Cricetulus griseus: one gene and its partner. The protein of the gene in region 2 interacts with the protein of the main gene of each other region in a pairwise test. Links are inferred from orthologs where the notes say so. Each region holds a gene or a part of one and is shown on either strand. Other genes may lie near its edges.

Region 1 (10,648 bases), on a different chromosome or scaffold from region 2:
TGCCCTGGCCTATAAATATCCCATGATGGAAAATGGAACAATTGCTGCAGTCCTGGTGAAAATGTGCATAAAGGAGAAGAGGAAGGTAGGGGGACATTAGCAACAATGGTTCTTCTAACAGTGGAAAACTCAGACCCAATGGCAACGTGCTTTCAACTAACAAGACATCTTGAGCCACTTTTTCAGGCCTATGAGTTAGACAAGAGTAGGTGGAGCACAGTCTCCTTCCAGCAAACCTGACAGGGTATAGCCAAACTCGTGTGCTGTCTTGGAAATTGGGTGACGATCCCCCAGCAAGTCATTTTGTAGGTGAGTGGGGAGGAATTTCAAAATCAGATTTGGAAGCTGTTTGCACACTGTCCTGCCTGGGATGCTGAATTGTCCCCCGGTCGGACCCCTCAAAGCGCCAGCTGGAGTTTGGTCATGTTTCTCTGGTGCATGTTGTGATGGCGGACTAATTCGTCTGACCGAGCAAACTTTTTCTGACAACTGTGCCACCGACAGCTGAAGGGCTTTTCACCTGTTGACACAATTGCCAGTTAGAGACACTTGCAGCAGAGTGACTGGGCACAGGTTCAACTATCAAAGGCCCGAGCTAAATCACCATAAGACACCCGCCCTGGACTCCCCTGGGTCATTCCCTAAGCTAACCAACTGGCTCTTCACTGGCAGCCTGGGATTAGCAATGCCTTTTGAGGGCTTGAAAACCAGAAGCACTATAAGCATAATAAAATAGAAAACTTGGGAAATGAGAGAGAAATCTAGTTTGTGGAAATCTCTAAGCAACTCATAAATTAAGGGGGTTTAGGAAACTTTGTCTCATCTCAAAGGACACTCTGTGACCTGTGCAAATGTTTCCCCATTGCTGTCTAGGTGGGAGCTGGCTGCAAAGGTCTGAACCATCACCCTGGATACTGTTGATTGATGGCTACTCTGGATCACTATCCTAGATACCATTGACTGATGACTGGTCATCAATAGATCTGGGACTGAAGCTTTATTATCTCCACATAGATGATTTAAAGTAAATCATGGCTACCAGTTTGTATCCTATTTGCTTCTTTTTAGTGCAAATGATGACTCAGAACAAGCCTGTGTTAGAGACAAGATTCTGGTTGCAACATTAGTTCCACCAAATGATTAAAACTGCTCCATCTTAGGCACTCTCATTAAAGACAATAGATATCTTGTATGTAATGCCTTGTATGTTTCTTAAAACAGCCTCACAAAGAAATGTTATCTTCACTCTCAGACAAAGTTGCATGGCTATTGCAGACAGAGCCAGGCAGGATTCAAACCCAGGCATGTCTAATCCTGAAGCCTACACTCATCCCTATGTCACACCCCTTAGGGCTTGCTGAGGAAAATGCCACAGGGGCTAAGCCCTGTGCCACCTGGAGGGTCTTCCTAGGATACTGATGGTTCCAATAAGAAATGTCCCAAGAGATGTGGTGTTTTGAGGCCAGACTGGGTGGCATTAAGTAGTTTGTTGGTGGCACAGGTTTGCAGACAATGAGGTGTGCAGGAACAATCTCCAGACTATGAGTTTGGGACTAAAAGGCAATATGTCAAAAATACCTGAAGGAGACTGAGACTTATATCTTGTCAACCTGGGGCACGGTGCTTTGACGGTATCCTAAGGTATAACCTGTCTGTGCTGAAGACTGCCATGGCCTTCTCACCTCCTACTCACTGTCCATCTGCTTTTCCTGATCTGGTTCCTGCCTGCCACTTTCACCTCCTCATGGGTACTTTTCAGCTCTTTCTCATACTGGTCCCTCCAGTGGCACTCAGCTTGGCTATTATTCTGTCTCTCTCCTCAATTCCCTGGCTTCCCAGGATGGCTATTTGGGCACATGTTTATTCTCCAAGAGAAAGAACAATAAGGATGAGGTGGGACCAGAACAGTGACCACTGAGATTGCCATCCAGTTGTTTTGAGGCTCTGGGTAAATCATTTGATCACTACCCATTATAGGCTCATCTGTTAAATGAGGACTAAAAACACCTCCCTGCTCTAGTTCCTACGATGCTGGAAAGATGAAGAGCTAACCTATGAGACAGTTCTGCTTTCTAAGGAAGCTCATATGCCACAAGGGCAGTTTTTACTACGAATTTCATCAGCCTTGTGGACAGTGCTTCAGCAGCCAGTCACTATGCCAATGCCCCATTCTCCTCTCTGTGCTAGTATAAAAGAAGTATGTCCATGAGTTTCTGTTAAACTGGAAGAAACCTAGAATTCTTGTGGAGCTTTATGTAAACACGTTCCAATCAGAACTGTGAAACATGAGCTCTCAGGAGAATAGAATATCTTGAATTTCTGGTCACGCTATAGGGTTGACCAGAATACAGCAAACTGGGGATGGTGGGGATGAACTTATCTTCCTGCCTTTGTTCTGAGCCCATTGGACTTTCTCCTCCCATCTCTTTTCTACTCAGTGCTCTCTGGCCCTTTATTTGAAAAATGTTATCATTTATCATGTAAAGATAGCTAGACATTCTCTAAATGGAATTGCAACTCTAGAATTTTTCTATGACTCTCATTACAGTTTCATTCAACAGTATCTTAAAAATAATGAAAAATAAATGTGAAGAAAAGTTTACGCACTTGTTTTACCTGTATGAGTCCTGGTGTGGGTCTTCAGGTGGTCGGACCGGGAAAACTTTCGCTGACAAGTTTTACACTGGAATGGTTTCACACCTAAACGGACAGAGAAGGTCTAGCCTCGGCCCTAACAATGTGGGGCATAGTGAGACACATAAGGCCAGCTTCCTGGCAGCTTGAGAAGCCTGGCATATCCATCACATCGGCAAGGTCTGTGTCTACCTGGACCTCACATTTCCTTGATCCCCAGGCCCAGCAGAAGTCACCTGATTCTGGTCAGCAACCTCCAGGTGCTGCTCCTGACTTGGGAAAAAAACATTTCCTAACCACCAACATCCAGTTCTCACCAGCAGACAAGTGTTAGAGACTGAGGAAAGTGGATCACTGCAAGCCAGCTTCTCTTCTTCATCCTGGCTCCTAACTGAACATCAGTGGACCACCAGCCTGCTGTGGCATCTCCCTTGTGCTGTAGTTCTCCTAAGAAATGTGAACCATTTCCTTTCTTTTCTCTTTCTCCTTTGTAAAGAAAGACTTAATTTTTTATCATTTATGTGTGTCTCTGTGTGACTGTATATCATGTGTTTACAGTGCCCTTGGAGGCCAGAAGAGAGTGTCAGATACTCTGGAGCTATGGTTACACACACTGCCTGTTGTGGATGCTGGGAACTGAACCTGAGTCCTCTTGAAGAACATGTGCTCTTAACTGCTGAGCTATCATTTCCACAGCCCCTTTCCTTTTCAAAAGACAAGTCTCCATATGAGGGGAAGAAAGTTGGGAAAATTAAACAGATAGATAGATAGAGTACCCTCTCATCCGTGTTCTACAGAGAAGACAGCACAAAGTCAACTCTAACCGAAGGGCTTGTGACTTCTGGCAATGAGAAGTTAACCTACAAACCTGTGTGTCTCCTTTGGTGTCTTTTGAGCTGGTCTGAGCGAGAAAACCTTCTCTCACAGTCCTTGAAGTCACACTGGTATGGTTTCTCACCTTAGGGAAAGACATATGTTGTTTCTGAGTACAAAGCTGGAAATCGGACAGGCAAGTCCTCCTAAATGCAGATGAAGGGATCCCAAAATTCCCAAAGCATTTCAGGGGAGTTTGTTAGGGTAGCACTATAGACTTCCAGGAAGATGAAATCCCACTTACACACAAGTCCATGGACACAGGGAGTAGGGAAGAAGGATACTCTGGCATTTAGGATGTTGGCTGAGGCACTGTCCAAGGGTTCATGAACAGATTAGACCAGACCATCCCTGTAGCGGGCAAGACTGGTGCCTCACACTGAGGCAATGCTCAAAAAACACATATATTAGCAGGGACTATTTTAAAAAGGAAAAAAAGAAAAGAAAAAAGTTATGACTCCTTGGTTGAATCTGAGATAGAATTTTGGATAGATGTGCCTTGAGACTGACCATGTGAATTAAGTGTTTCATGTTTTACAGCCTGAATATTTGGTGCTCTCTGCTACTGACTTCCTGTTCTCTGACACCATGGAGTCCAACATAAATGACTCCATGGTGGTGAGACACCCCAATTAAATCAGAAGTAGATGCATTTAGCAAGACTGTTGTCCTTTAATCTGCAACGAGTCAGCAGTAGGGTTGTGCAACTCTGGACTCAGAGAAGAAGGGCCACACCCCTGTGGCCAAGGAAAACTTCAGCCAAACATGACAGAATAGCCCCCGGAGTGCACTGAGCTTCTGCGAGTGTTCCCACCTCCTGGAATTCTGAGTCACTGGATTCTGGGACAGAGAGCAAGCTACTCGGAGGTCAGTGGATTCTGTCCTTTGATGGACAGCTCCAAGTTGCCTTTCCTGCTCAGGACCTCTGATGCTTCCCTGGTCTTTCCATGTGTCTGGTGTAGCTGATCTCACCATCCTGAGCCCTCCTCACTCAACACCCTTCATCTTATGCTCCCATTCCTACCCATCAAAGTGTTACTCGCATACCCCTCACAAATGCCAATGCTATCTTATGGTTTGAATATAAACCATCATCCATTTGATGTGTTGGTCTCAGGCTCATAGTGCCATTTTGAGAGGTGGTGGAACCTTCAGGAAGTGTAACCTGACAAGAAAAGGTGGGCATGGGCCTTAAGGCTTGGAAACTTAATGGCCTTCTTTACTCCAGAATTAATTCCAGAACATCTAAGTGTATATTTGAACCTACTCTTCGAGGTTTATGGTGACTTTGTCCTTCATGCTCTGAACCATCTGATTGTACTATCCCAGATGTGTCTTCCCTGCTAAAGATGCTAATAGTCCCTCAGAAATCACGCTACCTTTCATTCAGGCCTAGAGACACAGGGTCCTATGCTACAACTCTTGTAGTATAATTTGATTCCTTTTCCTCTAGGCTTAAGAATTGCACAGTGTAGGCACTATCATCTTCATTGTCCATACAAAGTACTTGGAGTTCAAAGGGACGTTGAGCAATTGGCTCAAGGTCTCACCAGTTGGCGGTGAATACAACTTTCAAACTCATGTCATTTTTCTTCTATGGCATTTGCTTTCCACCACCCTGTTCTGCTTTCCTGAAGACTGCTTACTGATTTCACTAATAAAAGATGGGAAACCCTCATGCAAACAACCCTGCAGCTTTGGCCACTGTAGCCTGACCTTTGAAAGTGCCAGCCTTCCATCCCACAAGTCACCTGTGTCCTTAGCAGTGTGAGAGTCCAGAATGAGAGTTCATGAACCACCATTACTCGAGTCTGGACAGTGGACACACTTACCAGTGTGCTTCCGGCTGTGCATCTGTAAGTGGGACAGCTTAAAATATCTCTTATTGCAGCCCGGGTAGGCACACATGAAAGGACGTTTCTCACTGGTCTCAGATGCTGAGCGGACAAGAGTTGGGGCCACTCCAGACACACGTCGTACATCCTGCAGGCAAAATATAAGAAGAATGGAGGCCTTGCCACATGTGAACATTCATATTAGTCCCATGGGAAGCTGAGCACTGAAATATATCTAAAGAAGAGAAGGCAGGTATGGCATGAGACCAAAAAGTGTTTGCCTCCATACCCTAGAAACCTGTGGCAGACATCACTAATTGATGATAGATAGGAAACTCTATGATGCAGTGTTCTGATGTCATTACTGCTGATCGCCAGAACTTGGATTTGAAATGAAACCTCTTTGGGGTCCCCAGCATAGAACCTCTAGAGAAGAAACATTAGTGTCAGGAGAAGTTCCCAATCTATCTCTCACTTGAGACTGTGAGGTCTAGAATCCAGAGTCCCAGACTGTATGTATGCCCTTCCCAATTAGAGACTTGGCCATGTGATTATGGACTCAATGAGAAAATGGATAAGAGCTGGGTGGTGGTGGTGCATACCTTTAATCTCCGCACTCGGGAGGCGGAGTCAGTGGATCTCTGTGAGTTCAAGGCCAGCCTGGTCTACAAAGCTACACAGAGAAACTCTGTCTCAAAAACATCAAAAGAAAGAAAGAAAGAAAGAAAGAAAGAAAGAAAGAAAGAAAGAAAGAAAGAAAGAAAGAAAGAAGGAGGGGAGAGGGAGGAGAGGGAGGGAGGGAGGGAGGGAGGGAGGGAGGGAGGGAGGGAGGGAGGGAGGAAATGGATAAGAAAGTTCTTAGCAGAGAAAGACATGAGACACTGAGTGAGGCCCAAACTGACCTGAGATTCACATGTAAATAGAAGTAAATAAAGAAGTCTCTGGGTTTGGGGCCTCTGAATCCACCAGAATGCTGTAATACAGTCAGTGTGATCTTTAACAGTGACACAGGAAAACACTGGAAGCTATCTGCCTTCTGTGCTCTTTGCATGTCCTTCCCGAGACACCTACTGGTCCCTGTCATCTAGCAAGGGAGGCAAATCTCTTTTCTTGCCCTCAGGCTCAGTGATTCCTGGATAGCAGTAATGATTCCTCCTTATTCAATTACAGGTGTGCCCACCAGGACCAAAGAGATGATCTGCTGACACAGGAACACATCTGTGATGGTATAAAGATCTGGAACATCCACTAAGCCAGTTGTTCTCAACCTTCCTAATGCTACAACCCTTTAATGCAGTTTCTCATGCTGTGGTTACCCGAAGCCATAAAATTATTTTCATTGCTACTTCATAACTATAATTTTGCTACTGTTATGATTCATAGTGTAAATGTCTGATATGTAAACCCAAGGGTTGAGAACCACTGTTCTTAATAACTTCCTATGTCATTAGTCTTCTAATCTACCCACTCACATTCTTGTTCCTAGTTCACTTGCCTTGCCCTAGCAGGGCACTTTCTTTTTTGTAAGAAAAAGTTCTGTAGTGTCATACCATAAATACTGTATCGGTATGTCACAGTATGTCAACCATTTGCCTTTCTCCTAGGGTTAATGGTGGGATACAAGTAAATGGTAGGCCAGCGGTTTGTCATATTCTACAAGAAAAAGAGTAAGTAGGGAAACATATATAGGGTGTGGCATCTACTAAAGGCCCTGACAGTGGATCTGATAAACTGCATCTGGTGAGAAGGCAGGTGTATTAAGCCTCTTTCATCTCTTCTCATCCTAGATGAAGACTATGTAGGACTAAGACTGAAAAACAGCTACTACTGTCAGTGTGCAGTCTGGCGAAGGTGCTGATGATGTCTGTTGTGAGACACTCAGATGAAACTCTGTCACATCTCCACATTTCTGTGACTTGTTTATTTCTCACCATGGAAAGACTTGGGATGACAGAGCACACTGAATGCCATGAAGTGGAGCTCCTTGCCCATTCACATAGAGGCCAGCCCTTATGCAACTTATTTTTGGGTCTTAACCTCCCTTGAAAGGATACTCTAGCTACTTCTTTTGTGGCAGTCACTGAGTCAGGTTTGTAAGTCACAGATGTGAGTCCTTGGTAATTGTGGTTCTGACTACCCACAAGAGGTTTGGGATGGGGGTGGAGTCTCCCCTGAATAACCTACATTCTCTGAGATTCTTTGTTCACCCGGAAGACCTCTCTCTCCTGTTTCTTCTAACGAACAATATTATTTCATCTCCTCTAATAAACAATATTAAGAAGCAAAATAAAAATTGTGGAGTCTAATAAAATATATATTACAAATCTCAGCCCCCACTTACTATGTGGTTTTAGACAAGCCCCTTGTCTTCTCTCTTCAGTTTCCCCAACTAGAAAATGTCTACCTCTTAAGCTTGCAGCGGGGCCATATCAGAGAACAAAGACCATGTAATGGAATCATAAACACACATTACTAAGTCAAAGAAGTTAGCCTGAAAATGAAATGGAGTAGCCAGCAGTGTGAGAAAGGGACAGTGACTGTTGGGAATAGAGAGGGACTGGAAAAGGGCATGATGTACAGGTGGTGGAGTATGAGCATTTTTGAAACAGTAAACTACTCCATATAATAATAATAATAATAATAATAATAATAATAATAAATGGCATTCTACGTGTATCAAAACCCATAGGTCTATACAACAAAGCAATTCAGTTACCAATAATACACCAACATCCATTGTAACAAGTGTAACATTATGTGAAGGTGACAGCAGAAGGACATAGGAACACTATAATTTCTGTGCATATTTTGTGTAAACCTAGAAGCTACATAAACTCAGTGTTTTTAAAGTCTGTGTCTAAATCTCACTTCATAGAACATGTCCAGTCATAAGTGGTACTATTGTCGATGCTATTGTCAACACTTGGCAAGACAGTCTACCTTTGAGAACTTTACAATACAGATCAAATCTTAGAAGTCAAGGGTTCAGATCATTAATTCAAATGCATATGGCCCACATGCAATTGTACCACCCACTGTGGAGAAGCAGAACTAATAATAAAAGAGGAAGGATGGGATTGTGCAAGAAGTCTCTTGGTGGCAGTTAGACAAGGCAGCATCTCTGCCGGGGTGGAGTGAAAGGAGGAGCATCTCTGGTGACAAACCCTTGCCAGGGCCAGGTGGTCCAGCAGCAGACGCTGCAGGGCAGATGAGCAGAGGAAGAGTCAGTGAAGGCAGCCTTTGGCTGGGCATCCGGGCACTCACCTGAATGCCTCGGAAGACACCATGGGTGTGTATTCTGTACTGGGCACCACAGAGGATGGGGGTTGTGTGGTTCTCACTCTCATACCCTGTGCCGTGGCTGCAAACAAAAGGTTGAAGTTGGTTCAGGGCCACCTTTTGGAAATACAAAGTCTTACCTTCTTCCACAGGGTCACTCTGGAAAGGAGCTCGGTGAAAGCAGAGGCCATTACACCGATGTGTTACCATCTTGCAGCCACCACCACCCCTAAAAGTCACCCCCAGAGGCAAATTGTCTGGGTCTGTGCTTCATTCAGACAAGCCAAGAAAAGCCACAGCAGACGCACACCCCGGGAAAGTTGTTTACCATCTGAACAGCAGGCTGACAGTGTGAGTATCTCAGGAATGAGCAGAATGCTCCAGGCTGCATGTGAAGTCCACTGGGGTTCTGTCAGCACCTCATGACTCAGTTCTTACCAGATAGAACCAAGAAAGTGATGACATTTACAAGAAGAGATGTCACGTCCTCAGAAGGGGGTGGGGGGTGCGCGTCTGTGGCTCCACTCAGTCCCCTGATCAATTTTCCAGAGCAAGTTAACAGTGTGTGTGTGGGGGGGGGGGCTTTATGTGGCTATATGTGAATGTGCATTTGGAGGGCCTGAATAGACCCCTGTGTCTTCCTTGGTCTCTCTCCACCTTATTTTTTTATGACAGGGTCTCTTACTGAACCTGGAGCTTACCAGTTCAGCTAGGCTGGCTGTACAGCAATCCCCAGGGATCCCCATCTCCACTTCCTGGGTGCTGAGATTACAAGCACTCCTGGATTTTTTTATGTGGATTCTGTGGGGCTGACCTAAGGTCTTCATGTTTGCCAGCAAGTAGTTCTCTGACTGAGCCATCTCCCCACCCTTAACTTTGAGGGCATCAAAGAATGCTGGACAATTGTCCGTCCATCATTCCAGGCTGACTCACCTCCTAGGAAATGTATTGCCCGGGGTAACTTGGGACCACAAGTAAGACCTGAGGGATGTGGAGCCTCAAAAAGAATAACCTGAAAAGCCAGAATGTTCTGCTCTGAAAAGACTCTCTCCTTCAGGTACAGTCCTGGAATTGTTTCTACAGTGATTTTATTTCCAATCCAGTCAGCACAAAAATTCTGGCCCACACTGGCAATATATACAAATTATAATGAGAGTCACTCTGGGGATGGTGATGAACCCGCTTTCATGCACATCTCTGTGAAAGGCAGCTACTTCAAAAACACTAGAAGTCACACACACACACACACACACACACACACACACACACACACACACACACACAAACTAGCTAAAAAGTGGCCATATTACCCAGAAATCCTGGGTGTATTCCTCAGAGAAATAAAAGCAGATGTCAAAAAAAAGACAACCCACTTATATATACTATTCTCTAGAAACATTCTTTATTCTCAAAAGCCAGAAATTAGAATCAACTCACCAATCAACTGATAGAATAAATAATGAAGTATACTCACATAGTGGAATGCCATTTGGCAAAAGAGGAGTGCAGTATTTATATGGTATAGTGAGTACAAAAGACCACATGCTGCAGAATTCTATTTACACAAAATGCCCAGAGTAAGCCAATGGATAGAAAGTAGCTTAGCAGTTGGTTGATTGCCTAGGACAAATTGAGTTGGGGAAAACATGGTTGTGATTACTGAAAATGTCCTAACTATGTAGGAACGGCCACACAAGTCTGTAACTTAATTAGAAACCATTAGATTGTACACTGTAAGTGGGGGAATTATATGGCACGGAAAATCAATAAAGCTCTTTTGAAATGTTTCATAGCAAGCTGAGCATGGCAGTGCACACCTATAATCCCAGCACTTGGGAGATGGAGACAAAAGGATCAGGAGTTTGAGACTAGCCTGGGCTACATGAGACCTTTTCCCAAACAAACAAACACACAAAATAATAACAACAATAAATTTTGTAGTAGCATCGTTAAAAGCCTCCAAGTAAAATTAACTGACTGTTATGCTGAGATCCCCACACCCCTGTCTCTGCTACTCCAGCATCATG
Region 2 (10,648 bases):
TGTGGTGGGGTGCTGTTTTCTGTGACATTAACACAGTAGTCAGGGCATTGTATATATACATTATTGTCACACTTTTTTTTAAGTAATTCGTTTAATTAAAATAAAAGCAAAATATTAAAGAATGTATTGCCAAATGAAAACAGCAATGAGGATTTTGTTTTGTTTTTTTGTTTTTCTTTTTTTAAAATTTATTTCATTTGCATTGGTGTTTTGCCTACATGTATGTCTGTGTGAGAGGGTCAGATTTTGGAGTTACAGACAGTTGTTAGCTGCCATGTGGTTACTGGGAATTAAACCCAGGCCCTCTGGAAGAGCAGTCAGTGCTCCTAACCACTGAGCTATCTCTCCAGCCCCTTTTCTTTCTTTTTTAGCACTTGATGGCTTAGGGCACTGCTGATACTAGTAGGCAAGTGAAACTGCAAAGTCTTCAAAATGTCTGTCAAACGTAAAGTTTTTGAAGGCTAGTACTTCTAGTCAGCAACTTACTAGAGGACCTGGGGAGGTTTAATTTAACATTCTCAAAAGTAGGGAGGGTTCTCAAGTGGATGGGTATTGACTCCTGATCCTTATGCACAGGACTCTGATGAGATTTAATATTCTCTGGCCTATAATCTCAGTACTTGGGACACCAAGGCAGAAGGAGCTTGTGTTCAAGACCAGCCTGAGCTTTGTAGCAAGGCTCTGTCTCATGGTCTGTAGTCATAGACTATTCTTAGGCTTTAGTCAGTTTACCTAATAATTTGAATTATAGAATCATTTTACTCTACTCAAAAGTTCAGTTCCCTGTAAAACATTCTTACTTACTCTTACATGTAATTTTCTTATTTTGAAGCCGCTTCTTCAATGGTAGTAATAACCAAGAAGGGTTTATGTATATAAATAAGAAGGGCCTGGGATGTTTGATTCCTACTACAGTGATCATACAAAGCAAAATGGTTCTTCCTAGTCATTCTGGACACATAGAAACAGTAGAAATAATCCGGGAGAAAACTTTTGTTTGCCAGAAATACTTAACTGTTGATACTTTACAGTTCGTATAGTTTTTTTTGCCCCTTTGATATCAGTGCTAGTTAATCCTTTCTGGATGCTTTAGCTAGACTCTTCTGCTCTCCGTCTTTGGAATATCATTTATAATGGTATATCCCAGGCCTTGTGGCTTATCTAGAAAAGTTTTAGGTGTATTGCAAAATATGGTTAATATCCCAAAATGTACTGTGGTCTTACAGTATTAGTTTAGGAATTGAGCTGTAAGTCCTGACCTGAATTGTTCTTTTCTATTCTAATCTTTATCTGTATTATTCAAGTGTCAAAATTGTTATATTATTTTCAATTACTGTTGGCTGGAGCCTGCATTCAAATCAGTAATTTAAAGCAAAACTTCCCCTTATCCTGTGAGTGATCATTGTGCTTGAGAAAAATAATGTAGCCCCTCCATCTCATCTTCCTTTGTCCTGTAATGATTGCTGGCATTATGGACCTAGATGACCTTTACAGGTCATGTGCTGCTGTTATTTTATGAAGCTGTGCTTACACTCGGAAAATTATGAGAAGTACAAATGGAAAATGGCATAACACTTCCCATCGTGTGGATTGATGCACGGCATAGTATTCTCAATATCCACGAGAGCTTCTAATCACTTGAGTGTTTTTGTTTTTCTTGGTAACATACTGTATTTTCAATGTCATGTGCACAATGTGATCCTGCTCAAGATGCCAGTATCCTTTTCCTCTAAGTCACTCGTTTGATCCTGGCAACTGAGACCTCTGTTGTAGCTCTCTTGGCAGCAGGGGCTGCTCTTGGTACAAATTACAGACATCCTATTTAAACACAGTGAATAATAAAGGGAAGTTGTTTGTTTCACAAAACGAAAGACGACCAAGGTTTAAGTGGCTTAAGAATTACAGGGACAACAAGAGGATGCTGCAAGGCTTTCCTCTTGTTCTCTGCAATTTTTTTGGTCACCTGCTTTATTCTCCCTGCAACTCCTGCTGCACGAAAGACTTCCTGTGGCTTAGAACAGTTAAACTTACTGTCCATCTTACTGTAGTATAAGGAGAACATTTTAAAGAGAGCCAACTTTCAATTCCTATGGCAGCCTGTTCACCAGAAGTTGATTTCTGTGAAGAGCTGACCCAAGAACACATGATTAGGTCTTATGGGCAATCAAAGTAATAGGGGGACCCTGTTTCCTTCCTTTTGATACTTGAATAAAAATGTTTTTCTAGTCTTAGTGGATCCTAAATGGTATAAAATATTTCAGGTACTGTGAAGTTTTATGCTAATAGCCAGTGTTGTATCACAGAGGCTTGAAGAGCAGTACATGACTTACGGTCTGCGCTGAGTGAACACGATAGGAAAGCATGGTTAACTTTGGTGCACATAGATAAAATAGTTCTTAAAGTTAGGCATCTAAGGGAAGAACAGTTTTCCAAATACTTTGATTGGATGAGGACTGAAGATAACAAAACAGGCCTTTTATTTTCAAAGAAAAGTAACTATGAAGATAAAAAAATAATTATGAGGGGAATTGGAATTTTCGAAGCCAGTAAATTCAGGGGTAAATTATTTTGGCTTGGCAACCATTTAAAGAAAAAAAAAAAAAGGAGCCAGAGAAGTATCTCAGTAAACAAACAAAAAAAGAGCCAGACAGAGGTGGTACATGCCTGTAATCCCAGCACTTGGGAGGCAGAGGCAGGCTGATCTCTGTGAGTTCAAGACCAACCCTGGTCTGCAGAGTTAGTTCCAGGACAGGCTCTAAACCAAAGCTACAGAGAAACTCTGCCTTAAAAAACCAAAACAAAACACAAACAAGAATGTGAACTGTTATTAAAGACTACTTAAGTTTTATTTTACGACAGGTCTCACTAAATTACAACATGGCCTTGAACTCGGTCTGTTTTCCAGATGGTCTCTGAAAGTTGTTATCTTTGTACCACCAGGGTGGCCTTTGACTTCCTAAAAGGTACAAAGGTATCCTAAGCCTCAGTTTCCTTAACATAATAACATAACATAGTTCATAACATAATATTAAAACAAAACAAATAAATCGTATCTATTACAGAGACTCACTATGAGGACTAGGCGAGGTTATGTTATGTACTATATGAAATTCTTGCCCAACTTCTTAGTAAAAGTGACTGTTCAATTGGATTTTTCTTTCATGGAGAAGGAAATTTCTTGACCACTGTTTCTCTTAGCAATTGTTTATTTGAGGATGTGGTGATATCTTGTTTATACATTAACAAATAAAGCTTGCCTGCAGATCAGAGGGTGGAGCTAGCCACTAGTTAACCATAGAGGTTTGGAGGTCTGTACAGACAGACAGGAAGTGATATGGCTGGGGAGAGAGGAATATGAGGTAGGAGAAAACAGGAACTCTGTCTCTTTAGGATCAGGAGTTAGCAAGGTAAGAGTTGGCTGTGACTTGCTCTTTTCTCTCTCTGATCTTTCAGCATTTGCCCTGATATCTCATCTGGCTATGGGCATTTATTTATTTATTTATTTATTTATTTATTTATTTATTTATTTATTTATTTATGTTCTTTGAGACAGAGTTTCTCTGTGTAGTTTTGGGCCTATCCTGGTACTCGCTCTGGGGACCAGGCTGGCCTCAAACTCACAGAGATCCTCCTGCCTCTGCCTTCCCAAGTGCTGGGATTAAAGACATGCGCCACCAATGCCCGGCTATGGGCTTTTATTATTAAGACCTATTAGAACTCATGCTTCATGAAAGCTGATCCATGCCACATACATCTGTCACTAGAAAATACTATTAAAATAAAGATGGTTATCACTTTCAGAAATCCTGAATTCAAAAGTCTGATTTTAGGGGTCGGAGAGATGACTCAGCAGTTGAGAGCTCTTCATGTGTTTCCAGAAGCCCCAGGTTGTGTTTTCAGCCTCCACAGGACAACTTACAAAGCTGTTTGTTAACTCCAATTCCAGGACACCCACTGCCCTCTTCTGGCTGCTTCTGCACTGCATGCATAGGGATATGTAGACTACCACTCAACACAAAATAATAAAGACAAATATGTAAATCTTTTTTAAAGTCAGCTTTTAGTTTTAAAAAAAGTAATTCAAGGAGAAACCATTTTTTGATGTGGCTAATGTCTTAAACAAAATATTAAGTTTCTCTCTTAAGAAAACATTTTCTGGCTCTTCTCTCTTTTCGCTTCTCTCTCTGCCTCTTTCTCTGCCTCTCCTCTCTTCTATTTCTCACTCACTCGCTCTCTGTCATATAATAAATTGGTTAATGTATAAAGAAAAAGAAAATATTTCCTGGTGTGTGATATTGTCTTGTTCTAGTTGAGGTGGAAACATGTAGAACCAATTTTCAAGATACAGATAGCTCTAGTTGGCTGAACACATGAGGGATCCACTCAGAGAGCTCAATGAGAAGCTCACGAGACTGCTAAGAAGTAGAAGCAGTGCTTGGTTTGTTGTTGTGTGTGCTGCTCTTATCCTCCACTAAAGTTGCCAGTGGTGACACATGCCTCAGTCCCAGCACTCAGGAAGCAGAGGTAGGCAGATATCTGTGAGTTTGAGGCCAGCCTGGTCTACAAAACTACAAAGAGAAACCCTGTCTCAAAAAAGAAATGTTCTCGTTACTAGTATTCACTTAGACTCAGCCAAGCAGTCTGAACATTTTTCACTATACGACCTAAGAGTTCTTTTCAGTTTTACTGATATTTTGAAAAGCAAGATAAACTTTTTTCCAGCAATTTCCCACTAATATGCTAGTATAAAACAATATGTTTCAAAATTGAAAAAATTGTCCATTATCACATAGTCTGAGCCTAATGCACTATATGTATTTTACCTTATGAATTGGTATCCTGATATAATTAACATTTTGCTTCCAAAGTTTGGTTGGTTACCAAAACTGAAAAACATAAACTTTATCCCATTATAAGTTGGGTTTTATGTTATAACTGATGCACTCTACTAAACTCAGAATCTGTACCAATCCAAGTCACAACAAAAAAGTCTGATAGGACTCATGTCTTTTTTCTTTTGTTATTATTGTTAGTGTGTGTTGTTGTTATTGTTGGTGTGTGGGCATGTGTATATGTGTATACTAATATGTATATGAATGCATGTGGAGGCCAGAAGTGGACATTGGGTGTCTTCATCAGTTGCTCTCCACCTTATTTTTTGAGATAGGTTCTCTCACTGAAACCACAGCTCACTGATTTGCTTGACTGACCCCAAAGATCTTGTGTTCACCTCTCTAATGCTAGAACTCCTGTCATGTGCTGCTGCTCTCAGCTTTTGCATTGGTGCAAGAGGTTGAACTTAGGTACCCCTGCTTACACAACAAACACTTGACTGAGCTATCTCCCTATCCCGATGGTGCTCAGATCAAGCTTCTTCTGCTGAGGATTCTTGATGGGGAAATGGTTTTGTTAGATGACAATAAAGGCACTTCATTTTTATCCTTTTCTCCCCTCCCTCCCCCCCAGTTTGCTGGAAACCATGTCTCACTATACAGATGAACCCAGATTTACCATAGAACAGATAGATCTACTCCAACGTCTTCGGCGTACTGGGATGACCAAACATGAAATTCTCCATGCATTAGAAACTTTGGACCGTCTTGATCAAGAACATAGTGATAAGTTTGGAAGGAGGTCCAGCTACGGGGGAAGCTCATATGGGAACAGTACCAACAATGTTCCAGCATCTTCCTCTACAGCCACAGCTTCCACGCAGACCCAGCACTCCGGAATGTCCCCATCACCCAGCAACAGTTATGATACCTCCCCACAGCCTTGCACTACCAATCAAAATGGGAGGGAGAACAACGATCGATTGTCCACATCCAATGGGAAGATGTCGCCATCTCGCTACCATGTAAACAGCATGGGTCAGAGGTCATATAGCTTTGAAGCCTCAGAAGAGGACCTAGATGTAGATGATAAAGTGGAGGAATTAATGAGGTTAGTTGCTTTGCCTATTCTGAATTCCCCTAAAACATCTATGTTTTTAAGATTGTGTTTAAATAATAGCCTGTATTTCAGAAACTTAACAATAAGAACAGTGGTTTCTCCCTTCCTTCTTTGGAAATGAAAGTAAAACTTGAAATTGTGGTTTTAGATCAGATTTTTTTTTTTTTTTCTTTTCTACTTCAGCCCTTTCATTGCATGATGAGGCTTTTCTAGTCTCTTGATTTGTCAAAGGGCTTTCTCTGTTTATGGTTTTAGCAGTTTCTGACTGACCGAAGTTCATTTAATCCAATCCTTAGTCCTTCATTGTAAATATTTTTCTCTGAGTGATAAGATAAATTTACCATGATGTAGAATACATGCACTCTTCATTTTTCCTTGCACCATTTCAATCAGAGCAACAATTTGAGCAACTGTTGGGTCACAAGTAATTTTCATAAGAAACATAGATACCATCCTACCCTTAAAAGGCTGAAGTTCTAATTTTAGCAATAGATGCAGCACCCACATGGACTCCATACCTTATCAGTTGCCAAGTAAGCATGTACACTTAGAGTTTAAACTCAAAGAAAAAAGCCTACTTTCAACTAAGGTCATCAAGACTTTGTAGCAGACCTGGTTCACTTTGAGGGTAGCAGACATGTGTTTTCCATGCTGTGTCCCAAACTAGGAACTTCCTTTAGCACATGGTGTGGGCTCAGTATGTTAGATGAGTAGATAAATTTGTCATAAACCATAAGGGTATCCTATTTTGAATTAAGGATTTGGAGCTGGTTCATGGGGAAAAGGCGTTTGCTGCCAAGCCAGAGGACATGAGTTCCATCCCTGGAACCCACACAGTGGAAGGAGAGAACCAACTCCCCAAAGTTATCCTTTGATTATAAGCATGCCAACACACAAATACTCCTGCACATATATACATACAGTCAATAAGAGAAGTTTTTGATTTTTTTAAAATAAAAATTGAAATATACATATTTTATTTCTTAAGGAACCAGGAAAAGTATCAAAAAAGGCATGTTTTTAATCTGGTTAAAATGAGCTGAATGTGGTCACTTATGCATGTAACCCCAACATTTGGAAGGGTAAGGCAGGAAGATTACTGTGAGTTCAAGGCTAGCACTTCTAGGCCTATCTGGCTTACAGAGCATGGATCTTTCCAAAAAAGCATCAAAAGAAAAACAATACAAGCCAGGCATTGGTGGCGCATGCCTTTAATCCCAGCACTCGGGAGGCAGAGGCAGGTGGATCTCTGTGAGTTCGAGGCCAGCTTGGTCTACAGAGTGAGTTCCAGGACAGGATCCAAAGCTACACAGAGAAACCCTGCCTTGAAAAACCATAAAAAGAAAAAAGAAAAACAATACAGATGAGGCAGACTTTGGCAAACTTCAGCACACCTTTTCAAAGGCTTCACATTCTACGCTAAGTGATTAGGATTAGGGTGCTGTTACAGGTCTTTACAAACAGAAACAACAAAAGCATTGTTTTTAGTATGGTTAGGCTGTTGTGTAAAAAATGATTGCTTTGAGCTGCAGAGATGGACTCCTTGGTTAAAAGTACTTGTTCTTGCAGGAAACCTGAGTTTGTTGCCCTGTACCCACTTGATAGTTCACAGCCATCCATAATTCTCATTCTGGGGGGTTCAAAACCCTCTTCTGACCTCTGCAGGCCCCAGGCATGCATATGGTACACCTATGTACATGCAAGCAAAACACTCATACCCAAAAAATAGCCTAAAAAAATTTTAAAGATTGAGAGGTTGTAGATAAATTAGTTACAGTTGATAATGAACAGAATTGTAGACTTAACAGAAACAAAAATAAAAGTTGTAACTGAGTTTTAACTGGTCCTGAAGATTTTCTGACATCAAGACAGAATGACGGTGTCGTGACAGTGCTGTGTGGAGATCCATCCTATGGCACCTCTTGGAGTTGAGGAGACAGCCTTAAACACACGGCCTCTTCTGAGTTTGTTTTCAGGGTTGAGTTGCCACACATGGAGTCCTTGGCTGCAGGGACTGTGGGGTACATGTTATAAAGAGTATCATACCTCAACCACAATCTATGTTAGCAAGCTTTTAGCACTCTGAAATACAAGAGATCAAGAGGCTTTTGGTTTATCTTTGACTATTAACCCAGGTGTTCACAGTTCAGCTGTTGCTAGTGACTTTTTTAGTGCTGAAGACTGAACCCAGGGCTTTATCTTCCACTGAATCACTTCCTTGGCCATAGATGGTTTGGGGAATTTAGCATCTTTCATTGTTCATTTCAAAAAGGAAAACCATTTTGGCAAATAAGTTACTTTATTCATTGAAGTTTCATGAGATTTTAATTATCCTGAATAGAGAAGATAGCAAAATATCATTTATTTGTTCAGGTACTAGCTTGTTTTGTTTGTGTACACTCAGTTGGGTACAGTCTCACAGACGTAACGTGTGTTTCACTTGTGTGCTCCTAATTGTTGTGTAGTTATTAGGACTCTTTCTTCTTCCCTTCCTCTGCTTCTTGCTCAGAATAGCTCCTTTGACATTTAGCTAGCTAGGGTCCTCTAGACCTGGCACCCTTGTTCCTCCACAATTGGGCGTTCTCACATTCCAACTTTGCTCATGTGTGCCCCTTCTCAACCTTTTCAAGTTTGCAGAGGGCAATCCTTCTTAGGACACAGGGAGAAGTGACTGAATAACTGCATACATGACGTTTGCAGTCCCACCAGCTATGCTGGGTGCTTGATCAGTGAAACTGGGTTCATGAAAATTAGTAATTTGCTCAAGAAAGTTTGATTATTGAGCCTAAATTATATCCCATGTCTTTATTATTGTGTTGCTGGTATGTTTTATTGCTGATATTATTTATGCTTATAGATTAAATAAGGCTTTAGGAAAGGTAATAAATATAATTCTGCAGAAAGTGTGAATGGCCTTACTGGGCTTGCCATTCTCCTTCCCTTGGCATGTCTGCTACTTCAAATCAGTCACTTACTAAACATTGAATTTTTATTGGTGAGATATTAGAGACATTTTCAAACAATAGCTCTTTCTGAGTTTTCTGAATCTGTCTAGTGATATACTGTCCTTTCTGCTTACTCAACATTGGTGACATGACAGTGACCTGGAATTGCTCAGCTCTAGTAGGAAGTGTGGATATCTGAGGGCCTTCCTGCCTCCTGTGTTGCCCACTGCCACAACCTGCAGGTGCTCTGCCCTGAGACATGCTTTGCAGATTTTGTAATCCAGTGAATCCATATTACAGTATATAATCTGAAGGTTTATAATGGAGATTTGTGTGTGTGTGTGTGCAGCTTCATCAGGTTATAACTGTACCCTTGACTATTTGTTAAAGAGTCAGAAATGATCTTTTCTAGTTTTGAATTGGGATCAGAAAAGGAAGAAGAGAGCCACACTAGCATGTAAATTCTCTGTAAGTGGTTGAATGTGCCATTTTAGGGAAGGACTGAAAGCCAACAGTAAAGCCAACTCATTTTACATTAGGACATCTTAAAAGGCCTATCAGTATTTAAGTATATGCATAGAAATGTGTGTCTGCATCTGCTAATGCAATAGACTACAGCAGTGTTTTCCTGCAGTTATGTATGTATGTTATGAGGTAACGTAAATGAGGCTTATTAGAGTTAGTAATGCTGTACATTAAGCATGTTGCTCTACATCACCCATACACTACATTTTGTTAGTATTTTGTACAGAATTCTGCAAGTTCATTCCAAGTTGGTTATGTATATGCTTAAAACTAAAGCATTGATTGAGCATCCTTGAGCCATAGTGTGTTAAAATTAAAAACTTCTGAGCGCTCTGTGTTGCAAGTGAAAAATTCCATAATACAACACATTCCACTGTCCCAGGTTCCATGTAGTCTCTATATAATTATGTAAAACATAATCGAACTTGGCATTTATACTTGGGCTCTATCCCTGAAGTATTTCATTATAAATATGAAAATAGTCCTGAATTTAAAAAAGAAGATTTGAAAAGGCTTGTGGTTTGATGTACCTCAGTGATGGCCCTCAGCCTGTATTTACTTGTGAGACAGGATGTTCATGCTCTGTAAGAATGTAACACCACTAAGTAAGTGGTGGTATGCTCTCCCTCCATCTGCATATAGAACAGCTCTCCCTGTAATGTTCTCTCTTAAAATTGTGCTTTGTATCTGCACAGGGAGAAAGTCATGAGTGTCTTTCAACTGTGAAATACACTGTGTTGGCTTTGTCTTGGGGTGACTTTGAGCTAGCCCAGAAGAATACTGAGGGTATGTTAGCTGGGGGAGTATGAGTCATCTTAAAGCATGTCATTTTAAAATATGAGCCCTTTAATATGCTTTCTTCCAGAAAACAAATCAGTGTCATTTTGAGTCACCATAAATAACCTCTCCATCCTGATTTGGAAAACATAAATGTACTTGAAAATAAGAATTTAAAGCTGTTATATAAATTATTTAGATCACATTTTCCATTTTACAGCCTTTAATCTCTAGAAATTTTTCACTCATTAAAAAAATTAATTTTTATTATATTTTTAAAAAATCCATGCTGAATATGACAGAATCTTTTGCTAAAGAACTTTCCAGGCTAGCAGGATAGATGGGCTATAGAGCATGTGTCCATACTACAATTGAAATGTTAAGAGTTAGCTTTGTTAAAAGAGATTTTTCTTTGTAAGTTATGATGATCAGAGAGAACTTCTCCAGAT

What was found. The genes of interacting proteins can lie anywhere in the genome.
Region 1: the proteins of Hmbox1 (region 2) and Wt1 interact in binary tests that used the Homo sapiens proteins (3 or more experiments, as listed by UniProt). The link is inferred for Cricetulus griseus from reciprocal best matches to the Homo sapiens genes HMBOX1 and WT1.

The regions. Positions count from the first base shown.
Region 1 is NC_048599.1:72,498,976-72,509,623, forward strand, and holds part of Wt1 (Wilms tumor protein), read right to left. Parts: intron 9,021-10,648; exon of another isoform or gene 8,950-9,020; intron 8,936-8,949; exon of another isoform or gene 8,813-8,935; coding exon of another isoform or gene 8,762-8,812; intron 8,704-8,761; coding exon 8,607-8,703; intron 5,491-8,606; coding exon 5,340-5,490; intron 3,593-5,339; coding exon 3,503-3,592; intron 2,701-3,502; coding exon 2,608-2,700; intron 521-2,607; coding exon 399-520; 3' UTR 1-398. UniProt on the Homo sapiens protein: Transcription factor that plays an important role in cellular development and cell survival. Recognizes and binds to the DNA sequence 5'-GCG(T/G)GGGCG-3'. Regulates the expression of numerous target genes, including EPO.
Region 2 is NW_023276807.1:219,919,002-219,929,649, reverse strand, and holds part of Hmbox1 (homeobox-containing protein 1), read left to right. Parts: intron 1-5,466; coding exon 5,467-5,943; intron 5,944-10,648. UniProt on the Homo sapiens protein: Binds directly to 5'-TTAGGG-3' repeats in telomeric DNA. Associates with the telomerase complex at sites of active telomere processing and positively regulates telomere elongation.